Linked DNA regions of Lytechinus pictus. The protein of the gene in region 2 binds, or shares a complex with, the protein of the main gene of each other region. Links are inferred from orthologs where the notes say so. Each region holds a gene or a part of one and is shown on either strand. Other genes may lie near its edges.

Region 1 (10,604 bases), on a different chromosome or scaffold from region 2:
GTATATTCAAAACATTCGTGTATGTATTACATACACGAATGTTTTGAATATACCTTTATATTACATACACGAATGTTTTGAATATACCTTTATATTTAAACTGAAAATGCAAAGCTGGCCATCGTCACATGCTTGTATTTATATTTAGCAAAATAAACATAACATGATTAATAAGAAACTAACGTTCTGAAACTCACACGTCGTGAGACTAATTTTTGCCCTTAGTCAACGAAGAAGCGTTTATTTTTTTCTCTCTATTCTTTTTTTTTACAATTGAGTATTAAGCATATGATTACACTTAATTGTTGGAGATGTGAGATCCACGCTATTGGGTTATTTTTTAAAATAGTTGTTTCGATTAGCCTAAAAGCTTAAAAGCTATAAACTGGGGGCCTAATCAAACGGTACGTGTCAGAGAGCACGTATGCGTTTGATTCGTCAAACCTAAAAAGCTGCTCATGTGGAAACTTCTAAATGGACTCGAGGCATACAGTATTATAGTTCTAATCATGATAATGGGATTTCGTTCAAGTCCTTTCCATTAAGGGTCATGATGATTAAAACAAAATAACGTTTTTGTTCTCCTTTTTTTCATTCATTAGTTTTAAGCTCGATAGTTTTTCATTTGATATCTGTTTCCATTGATCATAATAAGTGTTTACAGGGGCCGATGAACCACGGGGTGGGGGTGTAGCCTTCCCACTTTTTCAATAAACGTGAAGAAAATCCCATAAGTAAATCTGATTGTGCTTGTTTCATAGGTTAGCCACCTCCCTCCCCCATTTTCGGCCCAGCCCCCCAACTTTTAAAACCCCTGCCGCGGTCCCTGGCCTTGTTTGGATCATATAGTTTTTCAAATATCAGTGATGTTTGCCCGTTTATCTCCTTTATTCCATGCAGGTTTAGTATACTGGTTCCCATAATCGTGTGACAATAATGATTGCATAATTATATTGATATATTTTTTTTTAAAGACATAGCAAAATGCGAATTTAACACCCATACTTAGTCAGGGGACTGGGATTCAAGTGGGGGTAACTATTCACACCCCTGTCCTACAACGCTAAGGTATTTGGGACCTATATAATTGGGGACCTATAGTTGTCGAAGTTGTTTCCTGTTCAGAAAATATATAATAGGAACTGTAATTCTATGGGCCCACACACCATGCACATGTGCAGACCGGTATTAAAATCACTATGTGAGAAATTCTTGTCATTCAACTGTTATAATCAGGGGCGGCGTCATAAGTTGGGCTCTTACCCCCTCCTAATTTTCATGTCATAATACAGTGGTGCTAAAAAGTTAGTGACCCCCACCAGAAAATGCATTCCTTTATATGCTGAGTGTTGAATGTAGACAACAACACAACAATGTTTGGCGAGCCCAGAGAAACAAGCTTTATTGAAAGTAATATGTCAATTACTGACTTCACAATTAAATATCAACATGTCAGAACTTATACAAACACTTGAAATATGTTCATTTTCAGGTGGGGTTCGCTAACTTTTCAGCATCATGCACTAAGTACGTATTATTCAATTGAGAACAAAAAGTATGTCATCTTCATGTCGACTTGCCCCCTCCTCCATCAAAATAATCTTCGGTCCCCCCTGGTTAAAATGGTTTTACCCTTAGCATATATTTATGCTGATACAAAGATACAAATTGCGCGACCAGATTTAGTCGTGGCAATGTTTTTTTTTAAATACATGATATCAGCATAGACTTTACTTCATTTTCATCTTGTTTCATACCAGTATATCTTAGGGTAATAGAAACTATGGAGGCCATCTCTTTTGAGGTTGCCCTTGAAATTCGATCTGTATGTTGCCTTTTTAAATTTTATATTATGTAGGCCTATACATCATTAAACTGGCTTTGTACAACAAAAGCCTGATCCTCGAATCAGCCAGCATGTAATGAATACTTTGTATTCTATTTTTTCCCCAATAAAATAAAGAAAGAGAAATTATATATGTGAACAAAGCGGACCTAAAGAATCAATTCCCTAAATTTTGCTTTATAATCGCATTTTATGTAGTAATTCATCTTTCACTCGTTCAATCTCGGGTTTATAGCAGGGGCCGCGAAACGGTTTTCAAAGTGGGGGGCTGAGCCAAAAGTGTGGGGGGGGGGCTGACCATGCAAAAAATCACAATCCTATGGTCATTTTTACGTTTTTGTACACGCTTCCGCGGCCCCTGCATAGGTCAGTCACACCCAACCATTGCCAACGGGAAAAGATACTTAAAACGGCAAAATATTCGAAATGATGTGGATAGCAAGATTTAAAATAAAACAAAGAAAGTCACCAAAATGTTCATACACGCCAGTGAAAACGATTCGTCTAGTATTTTGATTGAATTGGAGGGTAATTTAATGCCTTTGTGAATATTGTCACCTGAACCTATCAACAAATTTGCCGGACTTAACAATATCAATTTTAAACGACAATAAAAATTATGCTGGTAGACGCATGTAAGATAAATTTTTCCATTTTCAGTTTTTATTTCGCAAGTATCATATTTTATCTCTCTCTCTTTCTCTGACTTCTATCTGCCTTTATATTTTTCTTATTTCATCCTTCTTTTTTTTGTTCCTTTTATTCTCCATACGCTTTTCCCGATTCCCTTTGTATATACTGCAAAAACTGTGGTGTTAACCGGTGTACACAGAGGACCACATCAGTTATTTTACACCGGTGTTATAAATTGACAGTGTTAGTTTAACACCTATAGGTGTTATTACCCCACACCTATGGTTGTTACATTTGCACTCTTTGGTGTTTATGTTCAATCTCTAGGGTGTAATTTAACACCTCAGATTGTGGTCCTCTATTAACACCAACTGGTGCCGGTTTTAACACCACAGTTTTTACAATGTATCTTTATCATAATTTTATTGTGTGTGATATATTTGTGATAATTCTCATGATTATTCTGAAAATATTATTTGGTCGTATTATCTTCTGGATTAATTTATAACTTACATTATACGATTCCTCAGTTGGAGGCGCATAATTATAGAGACGTTAATTATAATCAAAACGTGATATGTGCTATATAGAGCTTTTAATATTGTCATTCTTATTATTATTGTTATTATTATTATTATCATTATTATTAATATTATCATTATTATCATTATTATTATTATTATTATTATTATTATTATCATTATTATCATTGTTATTATTATTAATATTATTGTTATTATTATTTGTTATTATTATCATTAATAATAATATTAACATTAATATTTGTGATGTTCCGATCAGTTAGTAACATAATTCCTTTAGGCATCTCCCAAATATTTCTCATAAATCGTTTTAGTAGATTCCGTTTTTATATATACATGACATTTTCATTCTTGTACATATCTACATAAGTTTAACATAAGCCTATATGTGTGTGTCACTTCCACTCTGCAGCTATACTAGTACCATCTGTATGATAACTGCATATGCAACAATAACACATGCACACACACCCACACACCAAACATGTCTTTAAAATTTTGTATTTGTAAACAGAAATTACAATCATTTATGGTATGTTTTTCATTAAATCTTGGAGATTATTTTTTGTCATTCACCAGAGCGAGCGCTCAAAAATAGGCATAATTTTTATTATATTTGTGAGGTCCTCTATAATTGTGGGTATAACTGATGGAATATAAAAGAAATATCTTTCTATTAATACCTTGGATAATACTTTGGATGTAGGCATTTAAAGCTAATAATTTATTTGCCTCTCGATGGCTTATAATGAAGAATTCTGAACACTTTTAACGGCACTGTATACAGCATTTGAACATGGGCAGGCAAAACTTTCATTTGGGTCAAATGTCACTTTTCTGGAGATCCAATATCTCAATAAATTGAATGAAAAATAATAATATTCAGTATGATATTAGATAAAGGCATGAATGAGTGAAGGAGAATCTGATTGTGCCAAAATATAAGCATTTATGTCCCTCGGCCTATTCACGAGGAAACCGGGGATAGTAAATGTGATTTTTTTTTTCTAGTTTAAAGACACCATACCACCGGTCAAGTGTATGACAGATTTTTTTTTGACGCAGCGCAGACGAATTTTATCAACATTTTGGTTCACAAGACGTATATCTACCATGGCAGTGCATTTGGTGTGTCTTACAAACGAAGGAGGAGTTCCACTTTTTACACGAACCAAAGGAGATGTAAAATCCGTAAGATTTTTCCACAGATATGAATTTTACCAAAGAATGTTAGTTTGAGCCTTGTCGTACAGTATTTGTATTTGGCTTCGGTCCCACTCCTTAATTTTCGTGTGTCCCAAGTCAATGATTTTTAATTGGTTACTGTGACTGTGTGATCATGATCTGAGACTGAGTGAGAAGACTAGCTAAAATAAAGCTAGGACGTGGCATTGGAATAGGCCCAAAACAAAGGACAACATCAACAATATATAATAGATAGTAAAAGCAGGGAAATTTCTCTTCGAGGAGTCATTGCATTGGTTTTAATAAAAGCAGAAAGATGGAGAAAAATAAATTATTAATGCCAGCCCATAGGCATACCGGTAATGGTGAAAGTTTGAAAGTAAATGCGGAGATCGACAAGCATTCTGCCATTCATAAATCAAAGTGAAGTCAAGAAAGAAAATATGATGAGTATTTTTTTAGGTTTTTAATTCATGAAGTCATGTGAAGTTTACTTGGCTCACTCATTCAAATTCAATGATTTGAGCAGAAACCCAGGGAGCACCGGCCCGCGGAGCCCAGGACTCGTCCGATCCGTCTAATACTAGGCGGACATATGCTCTCCGAAATGGGGTAGAATGGGGTTGCAATAGCACTCAAAATAAAAGGGGAAAAAATAAATTATGCACTTACCTCGATTATATTGATGAAGGTCTATCGTGAAACACAGAATCCTGACATCGTCTGTGCATATCAGACCACACTCTCAGCGGAGACTCCGTGCAGTATTCTTAATCATAAGGTTGTAAACACAATGATTTCACTCTCTTGGTGGGAGCAATTTTCAGTCATTTACATGTTGATTTGGAGGACCCTACACGATTACAATCAATGTCATGTGGTTTATGATTAATTTAATTGAAAATAATTATTCCCCAGGTTGAGTGACATTGCATCTGTGGCCTCCTGTGGCCACTCTTTGATTCTGTATAGTCACAGAAAAAATTCCTGCTAAAGTACTGCTCTACATCCTTCAATTTTCGATGAATTGTACAGATATCTTCTATGATGTTGACTTCTTCTTCAGGAGATCAGATATCAGTCTTTTCTTGGACATTTTTTTCAAGTACCAGGATATTTCCTTCAGCTTAAATTTGCAACATGTTTATTCAAGATTCATTTGTTATTGGTTTTGGAATGGCATCAGTATTAAATGGATGCCTGGAACAAATATCTAAACTCCTGAGTGTTCAGTTTCCTCACTGACCTGACTCTCGGATTCTGTTTCCTTTGACTCATGTTTCCTAATATTAAAATAGACAGCTCTTTGAAGAAGTCCATTGACCATTGCAACTCCAGTCTTAAAAGCTTTGAATGGTGTTAATATCCAACTACATGTATCACCAACAAAAATGAAATCATCCATTAAGTTAGTATTCCTATCTTTGATGGCATTCAGAATCCAATGATTCAATCTTGAAAATGTCTTATCAGTGTTATTCTTTTTTCTCTACATTGAACAGCTTGCTTTTGCTGAACAAGGCATGCTCTACGGCGTTCAGATGTTTGCCCAGAACCATGGGGTAAAGCTGGAAAGTACAACCACTGAAGAGGCCAAGGTCATCTGGCAGGTGTTCCATGACAGGTAGCTACATTGACCATTGAGGTCAAAGGTCAAATACAGTGAAACCTATACATAAAGACCACCCAACCTAGGCCTTAAAGAGCAGGGGTGTTTCACAAAGATTTAAGTATGAATTAGAGTTGCAATTAAATGCTGACACATACATGGTATGCAACATGGCAATCTTATACATCAATATGCTATAGTGCGCATCCTCTGACTATTGCGGTCATGCTTTACAGCGTACATGTATATACCGAATGCAACTAGGCATTTAAGTGCAACTCTTTTTGAAGCACCCCCCAGGTTGTCTTCATGAATACGCCACTATTATAAACATTTTAATCTGGAAAACTATTCAAGGGAAACGAAAGTTATGACCTTTATAGTTTTGTGGTCCCATTTTATTGGGTTTACTACTTACATGTATATACACAATATGTTTATGTAATGAACAAAAGTAAATCAATTGACTTTTAAAATAATATATTTTATAGATTTTCCTTATAAATTGTGTTCCTTATGTTGCAAAATTAGGTTTTTTATGTTGCAAAATTAGGTCTTTTATGAACTGTAGCAACTAGCAAGGCATATTCATGGAGTATGTGTATATATATATATATATATATATTTTACTCTTTCTCCTTTATATTAATGTATTTTTTCAAAACGATTTTTAACACCATATTAAAAGTTCTTGCGTCGACACATTGATGTCTACACTGCAATTGTTATAAGGCAATTTGAGATTTGCAACGCAACTTCTAGGACATGGTTATCCCTTCTGTTGCACTTGCATATTACAGTATGTTTTGCCAGTGAAGGCATTACCGATATCCTGTCGATGATGCAATGCAGTACGTCGGTGGCAGCCGCGATTATTAATTAATTTTCTTGTTCATTCTACAGTGTAACCTTGGTTTTGGTGACCAGCAACGATGGAAGCTGTGATGTACATTACAATACACTTCTCAACCACATATTTCATTCAATGGTAAGTACTACTGCTTGTAGTTCACCTGGTGACATCCACATAGGGTTTATTATAGAATGGCAACATGCATATGGAATTACCGACGCATGACCAGCCATGCATCTGGTAAATTTGCCATGCGTCGGTAATTACTTATATATGGTTGTAAAAAAAATGGTTGTTTCAGGTTATGTTCGTAGGGCTGTATACCCTTGTAATAATTAGGATTCTACAGGAATATCTTTTTGTCTTAAAGGAGATATTCTGTCTTAATGGACCCATTCAGATATGATGATAATACTTACAAACATCCATGTTATCTCATATCATTTGTCCTTTCTTTCGGCTGCAGGTTATGTTCATAGGGCTGGATACCCTTGTGAGTATCAGGAATGTAGAAAAACTCCGCCGAGAAATAAAGGTGAGTCTTAAAAATGATATTTCAGCTAGCTTTCAAATTCTTTTCATGAAATTTTAAGTTGAACAGTTTATTCAGGATACATCATGCTCTTCTTTAAAGGATTGCTCAACAAGTGCCCTCTCAAGTGCCCTCACAGGTAAAACAGTCGGCTCACAGTGTGCATGTAGTCCCGTACATTTATTTATGTGTTCTGTCCAAATGACTCGGCAGGATTTTGTCAAGTATTAAGGTTATTTTGATAACTTTTTAATCTTGATAATTGCAAGTACAAAAAATAACCAACTGAGCGAACACTTCATGTATGCTTTTGTGTCACAGCAAACAATTTTTTTTGCTTCAAGCGGGTAACTATGTCATCATTGATTGGCATGTTTGAGCATCTTTCAACACCTGAACTTTTATAAAAAGTTTGAGTATAGTGTAACCTGCATATAATGTCTACTGAAAGGAACCCCCCCCCCCAAAAAAAAAAAAATAGAAAAAACAAAAACAAACAACTGGCCTTTAAAGACAACAAGTGGCTGCTTAAAAACAATTTCTTATACACATAAATTGCCTCAGTGGGAATAAGCTTTAGTGGCATTATAGACAGGTGGCTGCCATAGACATATACATTCATTTTGCCTCCATGGGAATTGGTTTTACTGGTCACTATAGGGAGATGGCTGCTATAGAGAGGTTTTTATCCACGCAATCTGCCTCCATGGGAATCCGTTTTAGTGGTCGCTATAGGCAGGTGGCTGCTATAGAATGGTGGCCCCTGAACAGAGTTTTGATCGTAACCACTCTGTAATAAGTTTAATAGTCCTCTCATGTTCACCCAAATTCTGGAAATTGTCTTTATATCAGGTATGCTATCCTGTTATCGATGTACTTCTTCAGGAGTCTGACATGTTTGGAGCTCTGACTTCATCAGTAGATGTCCTTATCTCACCAGAGAATACTACGTTACTGGTAAAGCTTTGATCAATTATGTTATTTCTTTGGGGGGGGGGGAGGTGGAGGGCAGATGAACTAACCGCCTCCCCCCACAGGGATTGCAAGCCCCAAGAGGGGTCGAGGAAATGAAAAATAGAAATGGGATCAATAAAAAGGGGAAAGGAAATGCAGTACCTAAGATGGATACGTGAACAAATGTTTAGATAAATGTCAACAGTGGGGCATTTCAAAAGCCACAACGGTTACTTGGGTCATTTGTGATAGGGAAATTGGAAAAATTATATTATTGGTATATGATTATGTTCTGTTAATAATAATGATCAATCAATTTACCCTTTTTCATTTTTACCAGTTTAATAAGTGAACACATTAAAAAAAATGCTCATTCTTTCTACAAAAATTAATTGTTAATCTGTTAAATTTATGGATAAAATATGGAAGATGGATATTTCTATGGATCATTTCATGTTACTTCAAATGTTTTATGAATATTCATGTAAGACATTCTAGCCATGTCATGGTTAACTACACACATATAGATAAAGGAAAAAATTGTATTATTCACTTTTATTTTGGAATAAGAAATTATTTCCTGTGACTTTTGAAAACACATTTTGCTTTTAATGTATGTTCACTCATGTATGAATGATGTGTCAATCAGATTTTCACACATACATGTAAGTCAGTACAGAAATGTAGGAGCACTTCTCCCTAACTATTTTTTCTTATTAGGGTAAAAATGAGGAATTTAATTTTTTGCTTGTTTGTTACTATTTTTTTCTAACAAGGATCCTTTGGAGGCCTTTGTCACCAGTGCAGATAGTACATTCGGTTGTCTTCATGCTGATGGCAAGCTGGTCGTTGCTACGTCCAACTGGTGGTCACTCAGTGGTCAAGAGATGATGCTAGTGGCCAAATTCATCCAGTCTCTGCCCGTTGGGACATCCAGTGATGTTCCCATCTATCTGCCTCACGCTAGCCCTAAGGTAAGCCATTAAAAAAAAAAAGATTGTGTGAAAGTGTCCAATTAGGCTTCATTTTATATCAAAGCTTAATGATAATGGCAAGTTGAAAGAACTGTTAGAAGAAGAAAAGGAAATGGAGAGTGAGGAAGATGAAGGGTAGACAGGAAGAAGGGGAAGTAAGGTTGAGGAGGGGAGAGAGAAAGGACAACAGTGAAAAAAAAATAGAAGGATGGAATTACGACAGACAGAAATAAGAAGGGGAAGAAAAAGGATGAAAATGAGGAAGGAAGGGATGAAGAAAAGGAAGAATGGAAGGATTGATGCAAGGTTGATGGAAGGAAGGAATGCTGGAGGGAAGAAAGGATGAAGAGATGAATGAAGTGAGGAGTGATGGAGTGAATGCAGAAAGGTAGGAGGAAGAGTAGGAGAAGAAGGGAGGAGGAAGGGGTGTCTAGAGAAGGACAAGGAGAGGAGAAGTAGCAGAAGGAGGAGATGAAGAAACAAAAGAGGATATGGAGGACTAGTGTCATAGCCAAGTGTGAACCCTGTCCTATTTGCCTGATATCAGAGGACTGGGCCCCATATGAGATCTAAACATTTTTTTTTTATACAAACATTTTGTGTGACATAGATTGAGCAATTCTGTTTTTGATATGTTTCAGGATCCTCATAGACTGTTGAGCATCCACCTCTTACCTGGTGTTGTAGTTAGTGTGCTGTGCTACGCGAACCCTACCCTATCCGAAGCAGAGGAACAACTCATCGAGCCATCGTGGAGGTCGCACCACGAAGCTCTCCGGGCAATCCAAAGGGCGCCCCCATCCAACATTCCAAGAACAATCCCTCTTGATGCTGGGATCTTGGGGTAATTACACACATATATGGTCTTAACTCTTTCCAGGAAGCCTGTTTTGTCAATATGTTATGTCTCAGCTGCACTTGCTAAACAACTCCATATGCATACCATCCGGATCTATCATCTTATTTCCAACAACATACCATCAGTCGGTTTGAGACTTTGGTTTTGTTTGTGTGATTGTAGAATTAATTTGTTAGCCTAATCTGTGTGAAAATTTAGGTGTTTTGTGGTGATATTGTTTTGGGGTTTATATTCATTTGGTCTACTAGCAGTTGGTTGGCTTCTCATATATTCTAAAATATGGGCTAAGTCCATCTGGTCTCCCTGCTGTGTGGTCTACACTAATCAATGAATCACTTAGTCTAATTCTCATGTAGTCAAATACCCAGCTCTAATTTCAACTTTCTCTACTTATTTTTTTTCTTTATTAAATTGATATTTGGTTAATGAACAATTAATCTCTTGTTGTAAGACCAAGTCGATTCATAAGAAATGGGTATAGTCACCGAATATTAGACACATTGGTGAATGGACTAAATAACAGTTAGACAAAATAATGATAAGACAGTCTGGTTGTCGACAAAATAGAATTAAGTGGGGTGAGACCAATCTGCAATTCACAGATTTGGTCGGGGGGG
Region 2 (10,604 bases):
GGACTTTCCACAACCCTGTCTATCATAGGTACAATGAACTTAACTTTATTTGTAATGATTGTGATGGATTCATAAACTATAGACCTAATATTTTTAATTCAATTAGTTATTTTGTTACCGGCAGATTTTTTTTTTCATTCATCACCTTAACACCAATTCAACAATTTTCATTGATTGACATCAATATCAGCAAAAAATAATCATGATAAAGAAAATAGATTAAAAAGAAAGAAATGATTTAGCATGTTTAGTAACATCTCAGTTTTGTATCGTGTTTTATTTCATTTATTTATTTTTTTGCTGAACGTTATAAACACATGTTTTCTTTACGATACATATTTTTTCATAATATTTATTTAATGATAAAGCATGGGGGTCAGAGAGGTTGCTGCCCGTTTCGATATTTCAAGTTTGGTTTTTAAAAAATGGAAAGGGGATGGAGAAAGAGGGAGAAAATGTGAGGAAATAAAAAAAAAAGCATATTTAAAAAAATCATTTGGGCCTAGATTACCCCGGCTTATTATATTCACTCGCGTTCGTAATCACTCGCGTCGCGTTGGTAATCACACGCGTTTTTGATTTTTGGCGATTTTTTTTTATTTCGGTGCGATTTTTTCTAACGGTGTCTTCAATGGGACAAACGTACTGGAAAAATAAAATGAAATTGAAATTCGAGTTTCGTTTTTAAACCGGCAAGTGCCTTAAATAAGATGTAGGCCTACTCAACTACTGTTTTAACATAACAAACAAGCAAATCAGCCATGTGGCTCAAGTAAATTAGAATAGATCCGGACTTCTACTGTGTCTTATACGAGGACTCCGAGTCGGAACTTGCCATATCTGCCACATCGATATTACATCGTATCATTCCCATATGCGGACATGCCTGCATGCAATGGCCCCAAGGCGGCCGGACCCGGCCGCGGTCGGACACGACGTGCATCGGTAGCATGGAGCAAGCTAACGTGAGTGGAGCTGAGTTAGATCCCACGTTACATATGAGGCGCCGATTGTACCAATATCATATAGAACAATTATATGTTATATAATCATTATGTAACTATTATTTATATATAATTTACATTTTGTTTGAAAATAATTACTATCATATAAAATAACATTTCTAATTATCTATAATTCCAAGTAATACTTCATTATTTGTAAATAATAATAGTTCGACATTCCATTATTTATAAATAATGATTATTTGTTTTTCATTATTTATAAATAATGATTATTTGTTTTTCATTATTTATAAATAATGATTATTTGTTTTTCATTATTTATAAATAATGGTTATTTGTATATAAATAACGATTATTTGTATATAATGGCAAATTGTAAAAATCGTTTATAAATAATGATTATTTATAATTAATGGGATATTGAAACAAAATTGTTATTAATAAATAATGAAACACGATGAATTTTCATTATTTATAAATAGTGAGGTAGATATTTCATTATTTAACAAATAATCGTTATTTATAAATAATGGAAAACTCGAACATTAAATAATGATTATTTATAAATAATGAGAATAATGGCGCACTCAAAAAAAATATTTATAAATAATGAAGTAGATGTCTTCATTATTTAACAAATAATCATTATTTATAAATAATGGGAAACTCAACAAATTATTTATAAATAAAGAAATGTGGACTGGCATTGTTAATAAATAATTATTATTTACAAATAATAGAAAACTCGAAAAACTTATTTATAAATAATGGAAAAACGAATTGCAATTATTCATAAATAATGAAGTATGCAGTGTCAATATTTATAAATAATGAAACACAAAAATTATTATTTATAAATAATGAAAAACAAATAATCATTATTTATAAATAATGAAAAAAAATATTCATTATTTACAAATAATGAAAACAAATTATCAGTATTTATAAATAATGAAAAACAAATAATCATTATTTATAAATAATGAAAAACAATTAATCATTATTTATAAATAATGAAAAACAAATAATCATTATTTATAAATAATGAAAACAAATCATCATTATTTACAAATAATGAAGTATTACTTGGAATTATATATAAATAATTAGAAATTTTATTTTATATAATAGTAATTATTTTCAAATAAAATGTAAATTATATATAAATAATAGTTATTATATAATAAATTATGATTATATAACAAATAATTGTTTTATATAATATTGGTACAATCGGCGCCTCATATGTAACTCAACTCGACTCAACTAGCTTGCTCCATGCTACCGATGCACGTCGTGTCCGTACGCGGTCGGGTCCGGCCGCCTTGGGGCCATTGCATGCAGGCATGCATGTCCGCATATGGGAATGATACGATGTAATATCGATGTGGCAGATATGGCAAGTTCCGACTCGGAGTCCTCTATAAGACACAGTAGAAGTCCGGATCTATTCTAAGTTAGTTGAGCCACATGGCTGATTTGCTTGTTTGTTATGTTAAAACAGTAGTCGAGTAGGCCTACATCTTATTTAAGGCACTTGCTGGCTTAAAACGAAACTCGAATTTCAACTTCATTTTATTTCCCTGCATGTCTGTCCCATTGAAGACACCGTAAAAAAAAAACCGCACCGAAATAAAAAAAATCGCCAAAAAGTCAAAACGCGAGTGATTACGAACCCGCACGCGACGCGAGTGATTATAAACTGCCATTACCCCGGAGTTTTGAAATTGATGCCAGCAACGTGACTTGGCGCCATCCATGCCCCATCCAAGATAAAATGCATCTGAGTGCAATTGAATGACCCCCCAAAGTGTTTAAAGGTGATATGTCAGTGTGGCTTGCCGTAAACGCATTTTCTCTCAATGCCGACGGTGGCGGGCGGTGTCCAAAGAAGATCATGCCTACGTAGGACATGTCTGGAGGTGTCTTTCCAAGGACCATTCTTCGTATCGCCCAAATCGGCTTTGTGAAACAGTTGAGCGATATCTCGTTCTTACATAGAATGGATCTACGAAAGACCCTTTCATGCAACAGGCCCCTGGCCGGCTCTCGCCACTCTAACGTTAGAGCCAGGCCCAGGGACCGGATGAGGTCACTCACACGTATTGCGAGGTTAGTATTAGTATACTAACCTCGCAGTATCGCACCATGAACCGCGTTTGGCAGTGTATTTCTAACTAGTGGGTCGCGCGTGCTACGATCCCACTTCTGGTGTCCACAGCTTTTTTCAAATTCAAATTCAATTTGGTTTTATTCAACAATACTCATCAAAAAGTCCGAAGACTAACAATGTGAGTTTACATTAAAAAAAATACATAACAGAGAAATATATAAATACATAACATGCAGTGACCATTAAAGAAGAAAAAAAATATACATGTTTAAAATGCAATAATAGTATAAAAAGATATAGAATGAGCAGATGTAATAAGACAGATTTAATTTATATATTAAAAAAAGAGCAGATGAGGAGCAAGAAAGGGGAGCAAGAATGGCAAGAGTAAGCATGTGAAAAGGTGAGAATAGAAAGGGGGATGTAGCAAAAATAAAGGAAAGAGGGAAAAAAGGAAATTGAGGGAAAAAAACCCCACAAGTAAACAACAAATTGTAGATTACAAATATAAGAATTATGTGTAACAAAAAAAAAAGAAGGAAAGTGACATGATGGCGATTATAATAGACGAGAGAGTGGGAAAGAGCAACAGGGAGATAGAGGGAGAAGGAGAGAGAAAGACAGAAAGAGATATATAGAAAGGTCAGACAGAATCTGAAAGAAGGACATCATATCTAATCATAAGTTACATAAGTAAACAAAATATACATAGAAAAAAAACCACACGACTTCTATGGCTTGTTTTTTCTGTGCGCAGCGGCATGTAATGAACCCTTGAGTGGATGAGGTCGAGAATTGTGGTGGTAACCATCTGTTGTACATAAATTATAAAATCCTGATTTTTTGGTGAAAAAAGTTCAATGAAAGATCTGATCTCAACTCGTCTCGTCATCGTGAATGAGTGTAATCCGGGCTTGATCATTGATGATCCAAAGTTTTTTCCAAATTCCAGTCTTTTCTATGGTTAAAAAAGAAAATTGGGAATCCCGAAAATTGTATCCAGTCTGTCCAACGCAAGCCAAAAGGTAGTTTGAAAATCAGTAGATCGTAGCGCCGGTCCAAAAATTGGGATTGTCCCAGAAACAAGGTTATCCTCAGACCTCAAAAACCAAGACAACTCGTCATCGTGTCTTGATAAAATGAGATTGTCCTTGTCGGGGACAGTTTTTTTTCTTCACTTACCCCTGCGGGACATAGACGTCAATTACAGGGATATAGTGTGCTAGAAATAGATTCAGTGACCTCAATCCCCCAAGTTCATTGTCTATTCTTCATGACAATAATCTTGTTAATGTTATGAAACCGGATTGACTAGCACACTTGATTGGTGTCTGCACTTGACAGGTGAATGAACTGAATCAATCGGGTAATGAGATGAGGTACAGGTACGGAGTGTTTCCGTCTGAGGCACGAGCTGCACAAGATGTTCTTCAACTTCATTCATGATATGATTATGAATTTATGATGGTGAGATTATGTCACACATGCACTTACCCAATGTATAAGGATTACTGCCATAGGATTTCCATGTGAAACAATTAAACAATTGAATGAAGTTTGAAAAGCTACTTATGGATACTTATTAATATAGATGCTTCTGAAAAGCAGACTTCCACCTTCTCTTTATTCAGATCCAAATTCTTGTATTATTTTTTAGTCAAAATATATTATTGCACCTAAATATACTGTATATAGTTTATACCTTTATTTTTAAAAATAGTTTGCTTTAATGTTCGCTTAAAATATTTTTTTCATTAAAACAATATTTTTTATTTACATTGTAGGACAAAAGATCCCCAGTCACCAATAGAGCCTGGCATTGATGGTAGAAGAAGTAGAAATTAGAGTTATCTATTCGTTGAAAACTTGATTTACTTCAACATGGCAGGGTGTCTGGTTGAGCTGTACATCTGGTCAATGAAAGGTGCTATGGGAATCAAAGGTAAAATATGCTTTCAAATGAACATTAAAAAAGTAACATTGATAAAGAATATGAAAAAATGTAAAATATTTGAAAAAAATTAAAAGTTCTTAATTGATTGTAATAGAGATTAGAGTTTTATAAATGGTTGTTCTTGTTTTACTCCATTGTGTTTGTCAATTTATTCACTACTACAGAGATGCCAACCCTCCCGATTTCATCGGGAGGCTCCCGAAAATTCATCCCAACTCCCGCCCTTACGATTACCATCCTTATCCTCCCGAAATTACGATTTTTTTTTGCATTGATCAAATTGGATTGGAAGTACATGTATCGTCTGCTGACTTTAGCATGTAGTAACTCCATTACGTTTCGCTGCTACTAAATTCTGTGTGAAAGGCAGACAAATAAGGAGCAGCGAAAAGCTGGTGCATGTGATATGCCCAACGGGAATCCACTGTGCACCAGGCCGGTAGGCCTGGCTAGCTTCGCGAGGCGTGTGCGCTCGCGGCCGCTGGATTTGTCGAGTCGTGCGATGGAATATCGGTGTGTGATTTCGGCGTATTGATGGGTTGATATTGACACGAAATGGCGGAAAATCAACAAAAAAAGACCAAGAAATGGTCTCAGAAGTATAAGACTGAAAACAGTCTCCAGTACCCGTGTATTCGGAAAGAGGAATCTACCATGCATTTTGCACAATTTGCAGCGTGGACATTAAAGTTGAGCACGGAGGTCGTGATGATATTCGGAAGCACGTAGGGAGCAAACGGCATACGGACATTGCGAAGACGAGATCTTCGAGCTCCACTAGTACCCTGTTGACTTATTTCACCAAGCAAGGGACCAGCGAGGAGGAAGACGTTACCCGCGCTTTAATAATAATAAAGAGGATAATTCCTTATTATTATAGTTGAACAGGTACTTTTCTTCTATTGTCCCCTCATTTTTTTTACATACGCATATTTGATATTTTTATTTTTATGTCAAAAAAGTGGGAACAATGTTTTTTTAAAAACATGTGAAATGCTCCAAAATAAGGGTCAGATTGCACCAGAGAGCATCTAGAAACCCAGAGCTTCCAGGGCCCTAAGGCGGGCCCTCGACCCCGGCCGCAAGGGTCGAGCGCTCCGCGCTCGAGATGTGCGCTATGCGCACATAATTTGGTGTCGGTTGCAAATCCTCCCTAATTCTGATTTCCAAAAGTTGGCATCTCTGCTAGTATAATAACAATAAAAATATAATAATGATACTACTACTACTACTGCTGCTGCTGCTACTAGTACTACTACTACTAATAATAATAATAGTAATAATAAAAAAATAATGATAATACTATACAGTAACTAATACCCGATAAAGTTGTCAACTTTAATTCTTCCCTTAATTGTTTGACAAGTGAAGATGAATTGAGATGTTATGATGCTTTAAGCATAGAGTGAAAGTTGTAAATCTGTCTGTTGCATCATGAAAGTAATATCTGTTTTGATAGGTGTCTAATTTTATTTTACTATTAATGCCCCTGTTACGTGATATGATAATATATATTTCTTGGCATAACTCATTGAACCAAGATGATATGATAATTAATCCAAACATGGAAATGCACATTGATAAAGTGCTTTTGCATAGTTCATCATTCTATCATCTGTTGTGATAATTTCATATAAAATTTAGATGGAAACATTGGATGCCATAGCTACTATGACAAAGGAGACATGGGTAAGACATAAAGTTTAATAGTTTAATAATTGATAATTAATGATTGGTTAATAAATGATGATATTAACCATAACTGCTGAAGTAATGTATTATTTGTTATACATGTATGACTCTACCTACAGTATATGGTTGCTGGAGGCTTGTTTTTGGTTGTCTATCCATCTGTCTGTTCTGTTGTATGTTCTCTTGAAGTAAAGAACCATTTTAGAAGTTGATTCTACTGTTTTTAATTTTGAGTATTTGAAGATTTAATAAATCCTAATTGCTAACTTAAGTAATATTTTTGTTTATGATCACCCACAACACATGTAGATGGTTGCTAGTGGCATGATTGGGGCCATCGGTATATCCATCCTGTTTATGTTCTCTTGAAACTAAAGAACTAAAGAGGGATTAATTTCAATGTTTTATTGTTTGATAATGATTTATGAAATATCAACCATATCCCAAACAATATCTTTTAATGACTCTGCCCACAGTGGATGGTTTCAGGTCATCCATCTATCTATCCTTTTTTACGTTCTTTCGATAATGAAAGAACCACCCAAGGGGTTAATTTCAAACTTGGTTTATGTATGCATTATTGGAGTGACTCCATTAGAGTCATGTGATAAAAATAATAATTTTGATTTATGAATATTATGATAACAGTTTATTGAAATTATGATTAAAGTAATAGTATCCCTGGAACACTATTTCACTAACTGTTACTTCATTTGATTGAATTTCTTATATTTAGTTAACACTGGATATATGGATCAGAAGCAGCAGTATTTTGAAAGTAAGTATTGGTTCAGCACAATTGAACATACAAATTTCATTTTCGAAATGATATAAAAAATACTGAAATAATATTTCATTAACAGATAATGATAATAATAATACATATGATTTATATAGCGTCTTTTCCATTTTGATTAAATGCTCAAGATTTCAATGTTGAAAACCTGAAAGGACGACTGTCCTATAATTAGGTCAGTAATACACTGTGGAATCCTATAATAGACTGCTCAGCTGTAGATCAGTCTTGATACATATACCTGTTGATAAAACAAAAACATTGTGAAGTTTGATTCAAATTGCTGGTATGATGGCCATTATCAGAAAATGAGAATATTTAGAAGTTAGCCGAGATCCTTTTGTTCCTTAGCATTCACAAATGTCTGTTTTGAGTTTTTATCATCAATATATGATTCTTGTGTTTATCTAATCATTCAATGTTGTAGGTCGAGATCAAGTTTGGACACCAAAGAACAGAAGGCCGGATAAACTTAGGGATCTTCTTAAAGAAGCGGAGGTAGGCTGATGTTCATTTATTTCTATGGATTCCATTTCCATTTTGTGTATTTGATGCTCGATATTTTATTATGTAATAATTAAAAATGTCATGTGTTGTTTATTATTGAGTACTGACGTGGTGAAATCACAGAAAAACTTTTTTGTATTTCCGCGTTTTTGATACCATATTTTGGTAGAGCATGAAGAAAAACCCCCACAACCTAAATTTTGAGGGAATTGGTTTAGAGGGCCTTAGAGATGACCTAATGAATACATAATTTGTCCCATTAAAGTCAATGTACATGTATTATTTGCCTGGTTCCTGACATTTAGAACCAGCCCAATAACATTGACTTCAATGGGGGGCTAATTATGTATTCATGAGGTCATATCTTGGATCCCCATGGACCGAATCCCACCAAATTTGGGTTGTTGGGGTTTTTATCATGCTCTATCAAAATATGGTATAAAAAAATGCTGACATGCAAAAATGGAAAAATTTATGACGTCACACTTTGGTACTCTATAGCCAGATGATGTCACTGCGGACTAGTATTACAGGGCTTTGTACATGTATATTTGTTATCACTATTACACTTCCCATGGATGGTAATATCATTTGACTATATTTTTCTGCAAAGTGTAATGTATATTCTTTATATTGTGTTATTTAACCAATGAATCTTAAGATTTTGAAAAATACTATATCATAATGTATGATTCAAGTGGAGATCCAAATTATGTAGATATATTCCATAGCATTCCTAATGAATTTGTCTCCATTAAAGATAATTTTGTCATAACTCTGTGCAGAGAAAGACAAATATATTCAAGGTCAAAGAAAGATCATAAAATAGATCTTAGAATTTTGAGTAAAATTAGAGATTAATCCCTCATATGAAGATTGTCTTTTAATCATATTTGTTCAACAATACTGTACTCCTAAACTACACAATTATTGCCAATTATCTATTTGTATTTGTTCTTAAATTTTAAAAGGAATTACTTGCTAGTTAAATTGCAGATGACAATTATTTTCTTTGTATTTCTTGTTGGTGTTGAAAAGGAATTACTTGCCAGTCATGAAATAGTTGCTACACTATGGAGATCCCAGAAGAATGTCCAGCTCCTTTTGAGTAACTGTGTGTTGCTTTCTATACAAATAGCCAGTCACAGTGGGGATATTGATAGACTGGTCATTGATAAGAGTCTTCAAGGAAAGGTTCCTCCTTCTATCACGCACGGTAAGTTTGATCATGGTATATTTTCGAAGACACCCTTAACTTCATTGTATTAATTATGATAAATTGCCCCTTGGTTTACATCCACTTTGTCTATTTGCCTATTTTCCTTTTGGTTTCATCCCACATGGTGTAATCTCATTGGCCCGTATTCTGAAGTCGGGTTTAAATTAAACCCTGGTTTAAAGTTGTGGTTTAACTATGGAGAGCCAATTGGGGCACAAATCCCCAATAGTACACATTCAATTCTTTAACTCATATGACACCCAAATTGTCCATAATTGTCTGGGAATGATAACTGAAGTATTTTCTTCATTATGAAACAAAAGGAAACAAAACAGTAAACATAAAAAATATACAATATAAACTTTTATTTGTATTTTTGGCTCCCCATAATTTTAGTACAGAGTTAGACCTTTGTCTAAGTTAAACATGACTTCAGAATACGGGCCATTTTGTCCACACCTAGTTTGTCTATTTAATCTAATTCCCACTATTAAAGCCCATTTACCATTTTCTCTTCACTACCATTTTGTCAAACACCAGTTAGTCTAGATGATTAGATAAACTGTTTATGAACCAAATTTAATTCAAAGAGTGCAATAGAAGTAGACGGAGAGAAAATTCTCTTTATACTCTTTATAGATTAAATTAAATGAAAGTTAGCCCAAGTCAGTATTAGACCAAGTGGAGATTAGACTAAAAGGATATTAGACCAAATTGATTTAAGTCATATGCTATAAGACAATCTGACCCTGAGAAGTAGACTAATTGGAAATAAACCTGTATCATTACCCCAGGGGGGGGGGGTGCTCATAAAATAAGGCATGCGGGGATGTGCCCCTGGAATGGGTCGCTTTTTGGAAGAAATCCCTGAATATGGGTATGGTTTTATGCTGGAAAATCCCCAAACATTTATTTTTAGTTACTAGCCTTAAACATGGTTCCATATTCTCCAATTATGCGTGATAACCTTTTTATCCCTTTTTTTCCTTTTCACATTTTAATAAATACTTAATAATGGGTACCTTTTTTTAGCCAAAATTGGGTCTGGGTTTTGAACCTTCAGCCGCACACCCCCGTCCAAACCAAATCTAATACCCCCCCCCCCCAAATTATTACTGGAAACTTCCCACTTCACTTGATATCATTATTGTGTCTGCTGCATTTAGACATTGTGTAAAATATTGCAAAAACTTTTGTTGCGTTAAAATGTTTTTTTTCTTCACAATTTGAAATGCTATTCTAGTAGACTTTCTTTTAAATATATTGTACAGATGCAATTCCAGGAAAATTTCATGCTTGCAGATTGGCAACATACCTTTTTCAACTAACTGAACTAGAATTTCTTGACATTTGAATAG

The links. The genes of interacting proteins can lie anywhere in the genome.
Region 1: the proteins of WD repeat-containing and planar cell polarity effector protein fritz homolog (region 2) and protein fuzzy homolog are in contact, whole or in part, in a cryo-EM structure (PDB 7Q3D), measured with the Homo sapiens proteins. The link is inferred for Lytechinus pictus from reciprocal best matches to the Homo sapiens genes WDPCP and FUZ. Residues at the interface, in NP_056994.3 of Homo sapiens: Arg55, Ile57, Asn75, Lys78, Leu82, Glu418, Asp419, Arg420, Leu421; in NP_079405.2 of Homo sapiens: His293, Glu372, Glu373, Pro374, Arg379, Gln397, Pro399, Thr400, His401, Gly402, Ser405, Leu406.

What each region holds. Positions count from the first base shown.
Region 1 is NC_087260.1:17,862,630-17,873,233, reverse strand, and holds the start of protein fuzzy homolog, read left to right. Parts: upstream 1-4,004; 5' UTR 4,005-4,062; coding exon 4,063-4,212; exon of another isoform or gene 4,213-4,250; intron 4,251-5,708; coding exon 5,709-5,830; intron 5,831-6,718; coding exon 6,719-6,803; intron 6,804-7,134; coding exon 7,135-7,203; intron 7,204-8,052; coding exon 8,053-8,157; intron 8,158-8,930; coding exon 8,931-9,128; intron 9,129-9,769; coding exon 9,770-9,972; intron 9,973-10,604. UniProt on the Homo sapiens protein: Probable planar cell polarity effector involved in cilium biogenesis. May regulate protein and membrane transport to the cilium.
Region 2 is NC_087251.1:37,385,131-37,395,734, reverse strand, and holds the start of WD repeat-containing and planar cell polarity effector protein fritz homolog, read left to right. Parts: upstream 1-4,937; 5' UTR 4,938-4,959; coding exon 4,960-5,020; intron 5,021-6,676; coding exon 6,677-6,721; intron 6,722-7,460; coding exon 7,461-7,502; intron 7,503-7,947; coding exon 7,948-8,018; intron 8,019-9,065; coding exon 9,066-9,243; intron 9,244-10,604. UniProt on the Homo sapiens protein: Probable effector of the planar cell polarity signaling pathway which regulates the septin cytoskeleton in both ciliogenesis and collective cell movements.